Schizosaccharomyces pombe: one gene and its partners. The gene in region 1 interacts genetically with each later gene. Each region holds a gene or a part of one and is shown in the gene's direction. Other genes may lie near its edges. The genes, in order: brr6, cut12, apq12 and kms1.

Region 1 (3,777 bases):
GAGGATTCAAAGGGCAAAAAGGCAAAAGCCAGTCCTAAAGTTTCTCAGTCCTCTTTAAAAGCAAATGGAACTACTGCTATCAAAAAGGTAAAGGCAGGAAAGAATAAGGTAAAGCACTAAAATTTCGGGAGCATGAATGGGTTTTTTGTATGTGTATATATAATTTCAGATATACTGTTATTCTACGGCTAATTGATTTATTTGGGTCTCAAAATATTATTTGAAAATTCAACTATTATAGGAAATAAATGAGCGACTGTAGGTTGAACAAGCAGTCGTCTGATAATTCGTAAGGTAAGAGTAATTTTGAACAGACAAAATACTTATGGCGTAAGCACGAACATCTTTTTGTAGGGTTATTATTATATCAACGGGTAATTGCTTCAAGGTTGGAGCCCTTTTCTGATTCCCTACCTGTTCCAGGATATCCATCGGGCCACATTGCACAATCTTGGACTAATTTCCAGTCTATCGGATTTCTATTGTTTTTGTGATAATATCTGAGCCAAGTATCTTCTCGCTTCATAATTAGTGACATTGGGTAGCAGTGCTCATGCTCATTCATATTCATCCTTCCTACAAATACTTGCCAATTTCCCGACTCAACTCTACAAGCAGAAAACCAGGGTGAATTGAGATATTGCATGACAAATGGAGTATACGAGGATATGGGATTTGTTTTTTGTACATCAATGGAAAATCCATTTGTCCAACTAGTAGCATGAAAAACCAGTGGAGAATATTTATTTTCGATAAAAGCTCTAAATCCGCTTTTGTATGAAGGATTAGTGCCTGCTTTATTGAAGTGTTTTTGCTAGTTTGGTAATGCTTACCTTTTCACCTCGAGATATCCTCTATGATTTAAATTAAACCGAAAGATCAGCTTTTCAGACTTTTTTGAAATAGGTGATAAATATAATTGATTTTGATCTACAACTATGTATCTGCCATCCAGTCCACTAAGTGTCGGATCTTCCATCTTTGAAACCATAGACCACAGGGCAGATATCCTGTACTGGTTAAATTCATCTATTTTCTTTTGTACCTCAATTTCCTGTTTTGTCTTCCAAAAATCCCCAGGTAAACAAGCGCTAGGTTTTGGGATCCTTGCTGTTCCAAATACGAATATGGCTAAATATATATATTTGCAAATCATTGCAATCCTTTGTTTTGGGAATTTCTAAGTTTGGCTTAGTCGTTCAATAGTGGTATTGATGACATCTGTTGTATGGTAAACAAACGTTTTATTTACATTTGAAACTACTGTAATAAATATGTATCAGTAAACAAATGGTAAACCAGAATAGAATTTTAAAACATTCTACATATTCCGTTTGTTATAATAATTAGCAATTACGAAATTCCAATTCTTTCATTTTTCGATTTATATAGAGTAAGTATTTGAAAACACTAAAAGCAACATTTAAAAGGTAATTATTCTACACTAATTATTAAGAGCCTAATTTAGTTTACAATATAAATATTGGGCGGGTTCGCTTTTTACATATATTTTTAATACAAACGAAAATAAAATATATTCAAAATCTCAGATATTAATTGTTTTTTTGATAGAAAAAAAAGGTATATAAAATAGCATAATTTAACATATTACAGCTTTAAAATACGAATTGAAGCGTCATGCTAATGAAATATAGTTGCAGGTTTTTATTTAACATTCAAAACATAATTGTTTATAAAACCATAGTACTTAAACATCTATACATAAATTTTCTAAATTGAAGTGTAAGGATAAGGACTCGTGTATATTAACAATATAATCTCAATTTAGCTTGAACAAGCATTTGTAAATATACCATTCACAGTAATAATTACCATTTACCAAGCAGTTAAGGCACCTCAAGAATATACTTGGCGAAAGCAGTGGTTTTTTACGAATTGCACTTCTTATTAATAATAAGAAAAAGTTTTGAGAGTTTAAATTTGTTTTTTGCTTCTTGATAATCAATTATTGCGTTCTTTTTTCAATCTACTCATGGTTTGAGAAATCACCAGTCAATTCCCTAGTATTGATTTCCAACACTCATTCATATTTGCATTTTTTTTAAAAAGTTATTTAAAATAGAAAAATATGGAAATGTACGTTGAAGATGTACCGATGCCGGATATTGGGCCTGATTCCGTCTTAAATACGCCAATTCGACCGAAATATGAAATTTTGAAAAGTAAAAAAAAAACCCAGAATGAGAATGATCCAGAGCCAATGGATATTTCAATGTCTCCTGACGAAAAAAATCTCAAAAAGTCGACTGTCAGGCGTAAATTGCGAAAATCAAAGCCCAACTCTTCTTCAAATCAGGTTTCTTCTCGTACTCGAGCGTTGACTAAGAGGTCCAATTCTTCGAACGCGATCATAAAAGCCAACAATCAAGATTCTGTGTATGTTTCAGATTGGACAAATGTTCATCGAGATATACCTATCGTTGTTAGTGGTTATTTGCAACTGATGTTTAATGCGTGCGTTGCTTCAATCTTTCTTTATTTTTTGTTTAAAATTGTCTTTGGCATTCAAAACGATGTCCGAAATCGTGTTGAGTATCATAAAATACTGCAAGAAGAACAAGCTGCTGACTGTCAACGGGAATATCTTTCTATTAACTGTGACTCTCCAGGACCTGCTATTTTTGAAGTTTGTCAAAAACTGAAACAATGTAAAATGGAAAGTTCTAATAATGTCGGTTCTACAAAGTTGGCAGCGTTAGTTTTTGCTGAGATTATAGACGCTTTTATAAGTCATATTTCTTATAAAACTATGGTTTTTTCCCTCATTCTTGTATTTGGAAGTCTACTAACATCCAATTACGCCTTTGGTCTTTATAGAGCTAGACATTCTCAAAATATCCACGATTATGCTGCCAACGCTATCCCGGCGATGATACCGTCCAGTAGATTCCTTCCTTCCAATCTTTCTGATATTTCCAATAGAAACCTTATCGAAGCTGCCTCTCAGGAGGAAGAAATTTGAACGTCTTCATTTTTCTACTAACCTCATTTTTCTTAAAATCATTTTTCATCACTTTCATTTATATCATTACTTTGAACGTTATTGGTATGCTTTCTAATTTGGCATACAAATTTCGTTATTCGGATTCATTTTCTTTTATAATTTTGTTAATTTAGCTGTTCATTGTATCGTATTGCTTTGTTTCTCACAAGGGTGAGCCAATTAATATTCTAACTTTGAATTTCTTTTTTGGAAAAATGCATTATTTATAAGCCTTTTAAACTGTAGTATATTAGTAAATTAAGCAAACTAAGCTTTTAAAACGGAGAATGATTGAATGAACTGTACATCTTTTCATTCAAACATTCAATGTTTGATTTTTATTTGTTAGACATAATTATTCAGATAATGGCGATGGCTATTCACACGGCAGAGAGTTTATTTTTTGTATATGGCAGTTGTGTTCTGAGTCCACATAAATATCACACCAATGGAATCCGAGCTTGTACGACTTCAAATCCAGGTATATTGGAAATTCCATTTCTTTTTGGAATAATTCTTTAAAGCCGGAAATCATAGACGCAAAATATGAAACACAATTCGGTCGTAAAGCTGCCCAAAAACTATTCCTTAAACAGTCAATTACCTCCATTTTTGCTGTTAATGGATTTACTTCCGGCAAGACCAAACTGGTATTTAAATCAGATTGGCGGGTTAAATCTATCATTCAATTAGTATTTCGTAAAACAAGCAACCCTTACTCGCTACAAATCCGGTGATCACCAAAGTTAACGGTTGAATTTTTAAATGCCCAG
Region 2 (4,382 bases), on another chromosome or scaffold:
TGTTGTTGTATAAATTTTTTGTCTATGCATTCGATCTCTGACGCGCACATAGAAGCCTGCGCCCGATTCACAACTTGCCAACTACCATCAACTGGTTTTGTTTTTGTACCCAATTATTTAAGGTGTCAAATGTCTGCTCAACAGTTTTATGGTGATAAGGGCTATGTATGGAATTTGTTATGCAGCTCAGTTGCAACAATTTATTCAGGATTTTACTAACAGCTTCAATTTTAGGCCCCTGCTCCTCCTCAACAAGCTTATGGAGGCCCAAACTATTATCCTCCTCAACAAAATTATCCTCAACAAGGTTATGCTCCTCCACAAGGCTATCCTCAAGGTGGATATCCTGCTCAGCAACCTATGTATGTTCAGCAACCTCAGGCCAGTGATCCTGGTGGCGATCTTTGCTGTGGTCTGTAAGTATAAAGAATGGGCGCGTAGAAGACGTCGAAATTGCATTGGAACGGTGAAGCACACTCTTAATTTTGAAAGGTGAATGGGGTATTCTTTATTGAATTAGGTCATTACGTCAGTCGATTAAAGTTGCTTTGGCGTTCCTTTCGAATAGTTCCCTGTTGAACTGTGTTTTGCTTTACCTTTTTCTCTTTACTAACGACTGTTTTTAGATTGACCGGTCTTGCTTGCTGTTGCTGTTTGGATGCAATGTTTTAAAAAACTATTTGGCTTGTTCTTTCTACTTTTCTCGAAAGAGAGCATGCACCACTGATTAAACTAAAAGCCGTGTTTATTTTCTGACTTGAGTGCAATTAATGATTGTTGGTTATTTTTTCATTAATTCCCTCGCCAGCAAACAACTTTATGGCGAGGATTTATTTATTTACATTGGTAAAGCGTTGGTCGAATAATTATAGATCTTGATTTTTCTGTACAGAGTGTCGTCTCACTTTTTGAAAATTGCTATTACCCAACCGTTTAATTTCAGCTTCTTTTCTTCGAAATTAAAACCTTTAGTTTTATGATGGACTGTCTTTTCTATTTTTTAAGCGCAAAATCTTTTACAGCATCCATTGGTCTAAATCGTTCTTTATGAATAATTTTTAGTTTGGATTAGTTGAAATGACTCGTCCTGAAAAAATTCGCATGTTTATTTATCTTGCTTACCCTGAAGGGGCAATATGTGTGTTTCGTTTTTAGCTAACCTTTCTATGGTTTGTCTACTTTTTTGCTGCTCGTTATATGTTGTGTATTCTGTTTAGTATGCTGTTGTTTTCTTTTAGTGTAGATGAACTCTTTAGATTTCCCAATATGTTTAAGTTTGATAGAGTCGGTTTTTGATCGATACGTATAAGAATTCCTTATTTGTTTTTTAAAAAGATTTTAAAAGTAAATTGAGGCATATATCTTACGTAAAAAGTTTAAAGTTTCTAAGATTTGCTTTGACTATTTCAAACAGGTAGATAGATGCGTGCTTTTTCTATGGTGGAAATACGACAAACTTGTTCACGAAAATGAAGCTCAACCATTGCGACCCCCCTTGATTCAAATGCTATGAATTTGGATGCGCAAGCTCGTTAAGACAAAAATTGCCATATGACTTTTATTGCAATGAGCGCTATATCTACAAATACTCAATATCCTTTATCAATTACCCATCTATAAGTATTATTTATAATCGTAGTAGTAAATGTATTTCATTGCAGCTATACTCTACTTCCTATTCAATTACCTCCTCCATATAGCGAAAAGACCGTTCACGATATCACAAAGTTTATTAACATACAATAACGAGTTCACATATTAAAAGAAATATGACGATACGCAGTGTGTAAAATAGTGTACTGAGAGGACGTCCAATGTAACATGCGATCGGGTTCTTTATTAGTTTGTTGTGTTTGTGCCATACGTTGAAAACCACCGAATTGGGAAATATTGTTAAAGTTGGGTTGTTTGGACATAATTTTGTTAAATTCGTTTAAATTATTTATATTTTTAATTATATTTTTACATGCAGAACAATTCAGAGATCCGATAGAATGTCAGGTAAGGAATTCCTATGTAAACAAAGCTAATCTCAAAATTTAGAAACTTTGAACACTCCGCCAACATATGCATGGGTTTTGAAAGCATTTTCTAGTAAATTAGCAGGAACTGTGACGAAGCCTGTTACAAAAATGTCCTCTTACATTGAGGATGCAGAATCTGATGCAGAACTTCCGCAAGACGCAAAAGAAGACCTGCGCCCAACTGAGACATTAACTCCGTTAAAAAGTAAAGCAGCACAAAATGGGATTTTGAAAACTCCAGGTACTTTACAAATAAAGAAGACCGTCAATTTCAAAGATATTTCAAAAGATGCTGCGACGTGGAATCGTCCAACGAAAAATAATTTCTTATTTACGAGATTAGATGATGAGAATCCTTTAATGGGTCATGAAGAATTCAAATCCCCTTTGTTACAGAGTACTCCAAAACCGAATATTAATAATCCGGATAATGAAAACAAAAGTAAGCATGACGAGTTTGATAATCGCTATAATATTAATATCAATGAATCCTATAAAAATGAGACAAAAAGCAATCAGAGATTAGGCGAAGATGTCCCTTCAAAGAAAAAATATCCTCACTCGATGGATGCCGAGATCTCTAAATTCAAATGGGATAGTAACAATAATAATGACTGGTCAAGTTTAATGAAGGATTGCTTTCGAGATGTTGTGAACAATAATCGAAAAATGAAGGAAATTATTAAAGACGTTATGATTGACACATCCCAAGCTTTTCCCTCTGAGAGCTTGGATGAACCTGACTATACGATAAACCTTGATGCGCCTCGTTCCTCTTCAGGAAAATACTGGAAGCAAAAGTTTAGTATGCTAGATTCTGCTCATTCGGATCTTGAGTTAGAATTAACCTCTATCCGTGAGCGTTTGGAATCCTTAATTTTAGAGAAACAAGAGGAAATCAATTTTTGGAAACAACGTTGTCGAGCTTTAGAAACGGAGAAAATCCATAATCATCAAGGACAACAGTCAAAATACAAAGGCAAGGAATTCGTTGGAAATAGATTTAGCCAAATGAGGGAGCTTTATACTGCTAAGCCAAGTCCGATTACTACTAAAGTTGTTTCTAGGCCATCCCAATCTGATGTGCGTGAGCCTCAAGAACAGGTTCCTTCCAAGAATTTACATCGGGGAGCAGATATGTCGCATTTGGCAGCTCAAATGCTGACTCATTCATCAAAAAAGTCCCATACGACAAACCTAATACCTTCTGAAGGAATAATTTCATCAACTCCTATTTCCGCAGCTTCCAAAGTACGTATGAATTTAATGCAGTCTAATCAAACTCCTACACCTGCTCCATTTTCAATAGCAGCAAAGAAGTCCCACTTACCGTCGAAACTTAGTTTCCCACAAGATGGTGGTAGCTTATCTTCTGCTACTACCTTGCAGCAATTGCCAAAAGCAAGAGTGACGCCAAACGTGTTATCTTCTTTAAGCTCAAACCTTGGAAAAACAAATCCAACGTCAGTATACCAATCAAAAGCGAACGTAACTACAAGTGCTGATGTTGAAAAACCACAAGTTAAAGTTGCAACTAGTTCTCGCGTGGATTATGATTTGAAGAGTCCAAATCAACGTACTGCGAATGCAAAGAAAAGATTAGAGGAAAGGAGAAGACGAAGGAAGTTGAAACTTCAAGAACTTCAGTTGAATTCCTGAAGGTATAATTTTACTAGATCGATATTGTATAATTAGAATGCATATCCTTTTTAAGTAAAGGACTGGAGCCTTAGTTTCATTTATTTTTGTTGAGGAAAGGTGTGTGCATCAAGTATTGAAAATTAACTATATTCCTTTCGAGAATTAAATAAAATATAAGTCCATTATTAATATTAACTCAAATTACTAATTTTTAGTATAAATGATGGATTCATTATAAGAGGCTTGTAAAAGGCCGTATTAGTCGTGGATATTGTAATTTAATTTCATCTTTTCATGCAGTATTTTACTAGAAAAACATTCAGCTGTACATTTAGATCGTAAGCTGACTGGAAGAATTCCATCTCCTCAACCTCCATTTGAATCTTGTCTTAGGCCATACGCAGTAAAAACTTGAAAGTAGCAACAATTTCATATTACCACACTACGATAGGTTATTAAATGGGAAAATGGGTGTCTTAGAAAAAGTAAATAAAAATATCTGCCGTTATATACTAATCTAAATTGGCTAGATTCAAGAGATTGAAGCTGAAATGCGCCGGACGCAAAAAAATAAGGCGACGGAGTACCATCTTGGTTTGGTAAGTTTTTTTAATTCATTTCTAACTGGAATGCCTTTTATTTTATAGCAAATATTACAATGTTGTTCCAACTTATAAAGAATCAACTCTAAATTAAACTAACCTAGTCCTTTAGTTG
Region 3 (2,848 bases), on another chromosome or scaffold:
AAACCAAAGTCTGATTTCGGCACGACTACATTGGAATTAAAAAAAATGAATGAAGTTGCAAACCTGGTGTAGTTCGCTATTAGACTTTAAGATTTTGGACCCACAATTGTTAACTGAAATAACGATGCAAATTACGGACAAAGTGTTACAGTAATATTATGCGATTAATAATACAACGGTGTAATATAATGATATTATTATTACTGAACTTACAAAAATCTGATATTCCAATACTTAATAATTTAATAGAACTAAAGAACGAAGTTTCAGTTGGAAATGATTTTGCAGTCTTTTTGTTTTATATAAATTTATATTATATAATAGCAATGCCTACTCTCTGTGAAATGGAATTATAAATGATAATGTAATACAAAATGAATACTATTGTGTAAAGATGTGCAAACATTGTACGAGCTGCTACATAATATTGCATAATAAAGATATTTTTACATGTATATCACTAATAAGAAGTTGGGCATTGAAGAGTATTAGTCTGCTATCTTTGCAAATTGCTTCTAATATGTATATAAATAGCTTGGGAGAAAATTATTATTAATATTTAGTCTTTAGTAAGATCCAACAATTTAATTTATTAGAGCTACTTGTTTCATGCCGTTCTTAAATGTCCAGAAAAAAGATTTATTCATTCCAATAGAATAAATTAATATAATAAACAAGCATTCCCGCTATTCCAGCGTTAATATAATGGGTTTCATATGCATATTCAAAATGTATATAAAGGGTATACTAGCCACATTGTCATGTGCAGCCCTCGCTTAAGTAATAGCTTAAAACAACTGTGGGGTTATTGAAGAAATGAAAATGTTAAAAACGTAAAAGTTGTTTGTTTGTACGGTTGGACCCTCTAAACACTTTTTTCTATTCTGACATTTAATTAATTTTATGATGAAGATTTTTTTTATGTTCAGTAAGTAAAGCGATGCCTTATAACAATATTACAATGGTAATGGTATAAATAAAGATAAAAATTTTATAGCAATTGCAAGAATGAGTACTTTTGAAAACTCGGTTATTGGAGAATCAAGCTGAAGTGGTTGAAGCGAGCTAGTAATAACTCACTTTAAAGCATTTACCAATTGAAGTCTCACAAGCCTTTTGATATTTCGAAAAGGAAGGAATTATGCTAGGCACTCAGCATAAAAAGAACCATTTTATATGATAAAGGGCAAAGGGAAATTAATTTTCTCTCTATAATAGTAAGTATACTGTTGGATATTTATTCCAAAGGAAATATAGGCGGTGAATTCTACTTTTATCTTCTGATCTCTACGCTTTTATTATCAACCGTAAGAGTCTTTCTTTTATAGTAATAACAATCCAGTTAAAAAGGGATAAAAATACTTATCTTCCTTTTTATATATTACTAATCCTAAAAGAGCTTAGAAATAAGCAATTTTTTATTAACTAGTTCTTTATAAAAGCATATTTATAGAGAAAAGCATTTCATGAAATTATGCTATGTACAGCGAAATACGAAAATAAAATACCTCCTTTGACTAGAACTGTAAGCAACAAAGAGTAAACAATAAAAGCTTGTAGTCATTAGCAAATTAGATTTTTTTATCAGTAGTCTCGATATTAGATGAGATATGTTGACATAATCTGTTTGCCAGTTCTTTCTTTAAATGAGTTTTGTTTATAGAACCGTTTATTTCAACTCATCTTCCAATTTTTATTTTAACATATTTTATTAGCAAATGTAATCGTTGGTAAAATTCGCCTACAACGTCAACATTCAGTCAAAAAGCACACCTAACTACTCCCATCTCTATTACTCCCCGTTCATATTTTAACTTTTTAGAAAATGTCTTTGACATCCGTTTTATGGAATTTCGTCGCCAAACTTGCTGTGGACCATGGATTAAATACCAATCCTGATCAAGTCTTTCAAACCGTTGAAAATGTAGGCAAAAGTTTCGAAAAATATGAAACGTCTTTCCTAAAATCATTGTTCAATGGAAATCTAGGATTGAGCTTGCCCTCAGCTATTAATATCTTGACTTTGATTATAGTGTTATACTTCTCTTTGGTCATTGTAAATAAGACTACCAGTATTGCCCTTGCCCTCTTCAAAACACTTGCTGTAATTTCTTTTTTCTTACTAATCGGTTGTCTCTTTGCTTACTGGTTTATCAATAACGGATCTTTTTGAACATTGACTAGCAGCGTTATCTTCTTTGTTTTTTCAGATTACCGAGTACAAAGTGTTATGGATATGCTTTAAAAAATTTTATTTTAGTAATATATTTTTCATCTTTTTTGTTCCTCATTTCATTTATCATTCAAGATGGTTTCGACATTATTCTTGATTTTAGGACTGTATACGAAGAATGGCTAAAGGCCTGTAAAATATTTTTTAAATTAAAAGCATAGTATTGAGTACATTAAACATCTTAACAATTTGCGTTTGCAATATAAAACTTCAATTTCAATTAGTTACAGTTTTCAGAATTTATTTTTTTTTTGCAACAAAAATATTCAATTGACTTATCAGTGATATGAACGGAGTAATTCTATGAAATGTGAATATGAAAAGGAAGCCATCTCAAATAATACTTCTTATTTGCACAGCAGAAATTTGATTATTGCTTGGCTCAAGTACATGGTGAGTATGACATTATTATTGAGAACGACCTGGCATTTACATCCAATGTTTTCCTTCATCAGAGTTACGCAAACGCATAGACTCGATTTGGATGAAACCAGAGGTCCATGTAGGGTCAAATCCACCAAGCTCATCCATAGATGACAATTTCTCGTCATAAAGATGAGCAGTATCAGATTTACGACCGAGGACAGTGACATTGCCCTTGTAGACAGAAAGTTT
Region 4 (4,849 bases), 600 kb from region 1:
TCATCCTCTTGTTCTAAAATTTTTGATTCATTAATGGAAGGGACAATGTTGGATGAAAGATTCAAGGCGGTTGTTGAAGCAGGAGGAGAATTATTAGGAAAAAGAGGGGTTTCATTATCAGAACTACGATTGAAAAGTTCCGGATTAAAACGCTGCAAAATGGGCAGGACTAAGGAGGAGGAAGTAAGCAAAAAGACAAAAAAAAGCAAAGATAAAAAAAAGCCTTACCATTTCTTTGCTTGAAAATCTGTTCCAATGTGCTAGGAACACCTAATTGATAACAGGCAACCAAGGCAAGCAAAACGAAAAACTGAATTTGCCGTAAGGGTTGATTGCTTGATGATTCAATCAAGGTAAAGAACTCTTTCATTACATCTTGAGGAACATGAAATATATCAGAATAACTTTCTTCTTCTGGAAATAAGAGAACATTGTTTGCTTGAAACACGTCCCAATAATTTCGATATTGCAAAGGAATGGATGAATTACCTATAGACAAAAAAAAGAAAAAGAAAAAGGTTAGCATCATTACAGTAAGTAAGTAAAAAAGCAAGAAAGATGAAAAAAAAAAAAATCAAGCTAAAGAAACAAATCAATGATAGAATGCATCGATCCGTAAAATTAACTATTAATTGAGAAGGAAAAAACAGAAGAACAAAACTTTTACTAACCAATTGCTGTTTTATAATTTAAAGGCTTCACTGGTGAACCCCAATTACTGCTAGATGCCCATGGATCAGGCTCTAAAAATACATTATCGCCCATAAATGGAAACCCCGATGTTCTCTATCTTTTCGATGATCACTTCGTACAAAAGAGAAAGAAAACAAAGAAGATTTAATAAAATTTGAAAGCTAAGAGAGGTCCAATTGAAAATGTACAAATAATGCTGCTAGCAAAGAATTCTAAGCTGACAAACGAATTTTTCAAATCTTCACGAAAGTAAATGAATTTTCTTGTCTCTTGCACCAGTTAAAAATAAAATGATACGAGAAATAACTAAACTAGCGTACAGAGGTTTCAAAATATGTAAATGGCAGAAACCAGGTTTTACACGCTCAAACACATATACATATGGACAGTGTTAATTTCGCCAAAAAACCTTTGACGTCACATCGCTCGCTTCTCATAAAGTAACATGCTAACCAACTGTTTTGACTGAGTAGTAGCTATATAGAAAATGTAAATAGAAGACGTTTTCGAAAGAGTTGGCTAAATTGAAAGAAAAAGAAGTAATTTCTGTATTTATTGCACATTCTTGGATGAAAAAATCTGACCTTTTCTATGCATTTCTTTTTTTACGATCAAAACCTTGTATTTTTTAAAAAGTACAATATATACGACGTTGATTGACTAAAACGATTCAAGGATCAAAATATAAGTTAAGTAATCAACCAATCTTATTTGGAGTCTATGAAAGATTCTTGGGCGATCGTTGTTTGACCCGCAATTATAAATGCTGGCGTTCTAAATTACTGCAAATTCGCTTGAAGTTCTCAGAGGAATCGATCGATCTATAAAACAAATACGAATAGTTTCTACTTCACTAAAAATAATTTTTTTTTTTTTTTTTTTTAATTTGCGATTTCATTTGAATTATCACTTAAGTATGCACAGTACGACCAAGTTGTGGCCTTACTTTTCTAGCTGCTCTTAAATCAAGCATAAACATGATTTCTTCTAACATCTTTTTATCTATTTTCAAGTTTTATTTTAATCCGTCTTTTTCTGTGTACTTCTTTTTGGTCTCTCAAACCACTTGCTCAACAGCCCTACTGCCAAACCCTTGGATAGACCTTGCACGAAACCCAACTCACAACACTTAAGAAATGCGGTGAATTCGTGAACTGTTATGAAATGCACGCAGCTTTATGATAAATTCTAACAAAAAAATTCAAAACTGAATCCCATTCCCACTAGAATTGTGGTTCGTTTCCTGTATAATTATAATTGCCAGTTCCCTTTCCAAAATGCTAAATGAACGCGATTTTGACTTGATTTTCGATTCATATGACTTTAAACATGAAGGAAAAGTATGAAAAAAATTGATTGCTTATGCAGGTAGATCTTGTTTATTGAGTCAGAGACAAACTCTCAAGACTCTGGTTTTTCTCGCTTTACCCAATTACCAATAGGATAAACTATTAACAAAAAATTTTCTTAGGTTCATCTTTCCAACTTTTTGCCAATCATCAATGACCTACAACTCTTACATCCCGCTTCTGCACCACCTCTTTTGAGCGAATTCCAAAAACAATGTACACTCGAATTCGTACGGCAAAATGCAGATCTCTCTATTACAAAGGATAATTTTCGAGACGTATATAAAAAACTTACTGAAAACGAAGATGACTCTTTTGCGAATCAAGCTGAAAAGCCTTCGATGGAGCAACAGAATTCCAAAAATTCTATCAAAGAGGATGCAAATGAACACTCTGTCAATTCTGCACATTCAAAATCATCTTCTAATGCCTCTCCTGAATCCTTAAACCCTTCTCAAATGATGTCTAAGAGACTGTCCTTGCCGCCGATGTCTCAATTTACCGACAGTGATTTTGTCAATATTCTTCGAACTCCATTTGCCCAATCTACACCACTAAATAGGTAAGAATTTTTTTTTTAGAAAAGTCATTAAAATTCTAACAAGAAGAAATACGTCGTCCAGAAATACTGAGATGCCACTTGTTAGGAAGGATAAACCTGATTTTTCCAACGGGCACCATGATCTAATCAAGCAAATCACAGAACTCCAGGATATGTTAGATAAAGCTCGAGATCAAGCTAGAAAGAAATCTCGTACTGTAGATATTTTAGAAGGAAAAGTGAATGAACTTACCCACCAACTAAATATGGCAGATTCCAAATATAATGAATCTAAGGTAGCCAATAATTCGCAAAATAACCAAATTAAGACTCTTAAGGCTCAAAATCTAAACATTCACAAAAACTTTCAGAAAATTCAGTCAGAACTCATACAGACAAACTCTGGCCTCTACTCCACAAAAAAAGAGCTTTCAGCCTTGCAAGTTCGGTATGCCACTCTCTTGCGTAAGTTTACAGATCAGACTAAGAAAATTGAGGAATTAAGCTTGGCTGCATCTCGGTCAAGTGAAAATGAGAATACTATTCGTCGGCTTGCTTTAGAGAACCATGAATTAAAAAATTCTAATAATCAGCTAAACAACCACATAGATGATCTTACTAGAGAAAAACATTTAATTGCTTTGTCTAATAACCCAAAAGGAGATGAATTTTTATCACCCTCTAACCTTGACGAAATGGTTTACTCCAAAGAGGTTGGCCTTTCTTTCACTCAACCATCAGTTTGCATTTCTATTCCTGCGGTTGGAATGCGGGAAAGTGAAGAATTAAGAGAATTGGAATTTAAATGTAAACAACAAAAGAAAACGATAGAAGAATGCAAACACATAAGTCAATCATTGCAAAGCTCTCTTACTGCTGAAAGTTCGCGAAACAAAGAATTGGTTGCTGGATTTTTGATGCTTTCAGAGGAAATTGGTATCCAAAAATGGATTATTCAAAGCCTTTCCAAAATGTCTCCAACCCTAAACGACTTTTGTCGTCGGTACGATTCCTCTATGCCAACATATGAAGAATCAAGCCACGAATGCACAGTTCTTTCGAGCTTTAGTGACGATGAAACAGGACTCATGGCAACTAATACAACAATGAATAACTCCTCTAAAGATTTTATGGCGTCTCAAGATACTGTTAATGCAGACAACCCCCATTTTCTAGCAACGAAAGGACAACCTTTGCTTCTTTTATCGGTTATGAAATCCAACATTTTGCGACTTTTTTACGTCCTTTTTCTTTTTGCCTGTTTTTACGGACTTGATTACATATTGTGCGCCGAGCTATTGCAAGCTTTTTTGCGTGTTGTATTTACATTTTGCGAACATATAATTATACTCCTTTATGGACGGTATGAACTGGTACAGCCTTCTTGATAATTAGGCGACTAATAAATAATGACGAAAATGAAGATGCTAGCGAAAGATTTTTTTTTTCTAAAAAAAAAATCAGTGCTGATTTAAATTGCTTTACCCTTTTTCAACTTTTTGTACATAAAGGTGCAGCTGAATAATGGGTCTAACGGATAAAGCAATAATGGAACTTTCTAATTTAATAATAATGTATTTTTATGGTTGTGACGATTATGATTTTAGATGCAAGTGAAGATGTGAGAAGATTCAACGTCTTGTTGCTTTTGTTTCAGATGTGGAAGAGACAATAAGATAGGTAATTATCGTTGAGGTTATCCCCGTAAACCAAAATAAAGATGTGAAAACGAGAAATGCGGAAACCTTATGCGTATACATGAACCAGCTAGTAAGGACAAGTTAGTTTGTGAAAAAGTATAACAGGTAAAGAAATTGAGTAAAGTAAAAAAAATGAAGAAGGTAAATCAAAAAGTAAAACTTACCGCATGCCGTGCAATTTTGATGCAAAAGCTAGAGTCGCTTCGTAAAATTCAATATCTTTAGAATAAATTTTGACAATAGCTTGAGCTGGAGTATTTTTGACAGAAAATCTAACGGAAAGTGTTGTAATTGAATTAAAACTTTTAGCAAATGTTTCAGATTCGAACAAACGGACATTGACAATATCTGTTTCTTCCAAAATCCCCATGAAGTAAAGAGGTGAACATACAATTAGCTTAAGGTATTCGTGAATAGGAGACCTATGAGGAAGCAAGACTGTTCGTTTAACCTGCTTCAGAGATCTTTGATTTCTATCTTGAAAATCGACAGAAACCATAAAATTGCCCATAGCACTATTTCGAGGAGAATGCGGCATTTTGATTTGAAGCAAAGATGTGCCAGGT

What was found.
Region 2: mutations in brr6 (region 1) and cut12 are lethal when combined (synthetic lethality), as found in Schizosaccharomyces pombe (one study listed by BioGRID).
Region 3: mutations in brr6 (region 1) and apq12 are lethal when combined (synthetic lethality), as found in Schizosaccharomyces pombe (one study listed by BioGRID).
Region 4: of brr6 (region 1) and kms1, a mutation in one rescues a mutant of the other (synthetic rescue), as found in Schizosaccharomyces pombe (one study listed by BioGRID).

What each region holds. Positions count from the first base shown.
Region 1 is NC_003424.3:2,860,585-2,864,361, forward strand, and holds brr6 (nuclear envelope protein Brr6/Brl1), read left to right. Parts: upstream 1-1,831; 5' UTR 1,832-2,089; coding exon 2,090-2,983; 3' UTR 2,984-3,261; downstream 3,262-3,777. Other genes in the region: SPOM_SPAC8F11.04 (U3 snoRNP-associated Cic1/Utp30 family protein), read left to right, coding at 1-120; protein mug130, read right to left, coding at 368-770, 834-1,156; DNA replication protein Cdc24, read right to left, coding at 3,381-3,682, 3,724-3,777. UniProt on the Schizosaccharomyces pombe protein: Involved in mRNA and protein export from nucleus.
Region 2 is NC_003423.3:539,289-543,670, forward strand, and holds cut12 (protein Cut12), read left to right. Parts: upstream 1-1,867; 5' UTR 1,868-1,994; coding exon 1,995-2,001; exon of another isoform or gene 2,002-2,043; coding exon 2,044-3,683; 3' UTR 3,684-3,880; downstream 3,881-4,382. Other genes in the region: tail anchored plasma membrane protein Uvi15, read left to right, coding at 130-165, 235-416, 627-672; GTP-binding protein Gtp1, read left to right, coding at 4,133-4,150, 4,196-4,264, 4,380-4,382. UniProt on the Schizosaccharomyces pombe protein: Required for bipolar spindle formation. May act as a regulator of the p34cdc2/cyclin B kinase. Required for full activation of the plo1 kinase.
Region 3 is NC_003423.3:447,109-449,956, forward strand, and holds apq12 (nuclear membrane organization protein Apq12), read left to right. Parts: upstream 1-1,825; coding exon 1,826-2,173; 3' UTR 2,174-2,290; downstream 2,291-2,848. Other genes in the region: arg12 (argininosuccinate synthase), read right to left, coding at 2,663-2,848. UniProt on the Schizosaccharomyces pombe protein: Involved in the regulation of lipid homeostasis in the endoplasmic reticulum, thereby impacting nuclear pore complex biogenesis and localization, and nucleocytoplasmic mRNA transport.
Region 4 is NC_003424.3:3,461,095-3,465,943, forward strand, and holds kms1 (protein Kms1), read left to right. Parts: upstream 1-1,803; 5' UTR 1,804-1,970; coding exon 1,971-2,033; exon of another isoform or gene 2,034-2,164; coding exon 2,165-2,604; exon of another isoform or gene 2,605-2,650; coding exon 2,651-3,971; 3' UTR 3,972-4,214; downstream 4,215-4,849. Other genes in the region: sei1 (seipin), read right to left, coding at 4,215-4,350, 4,448-4,849. UniProt on the Schizosaccharomyces pombe protein: Has a role in karyogamy, recombination and segregation during meiosis. Although it has been shown to associate with the spindle pole body it is unlikely to be involved in its formation or maintenance.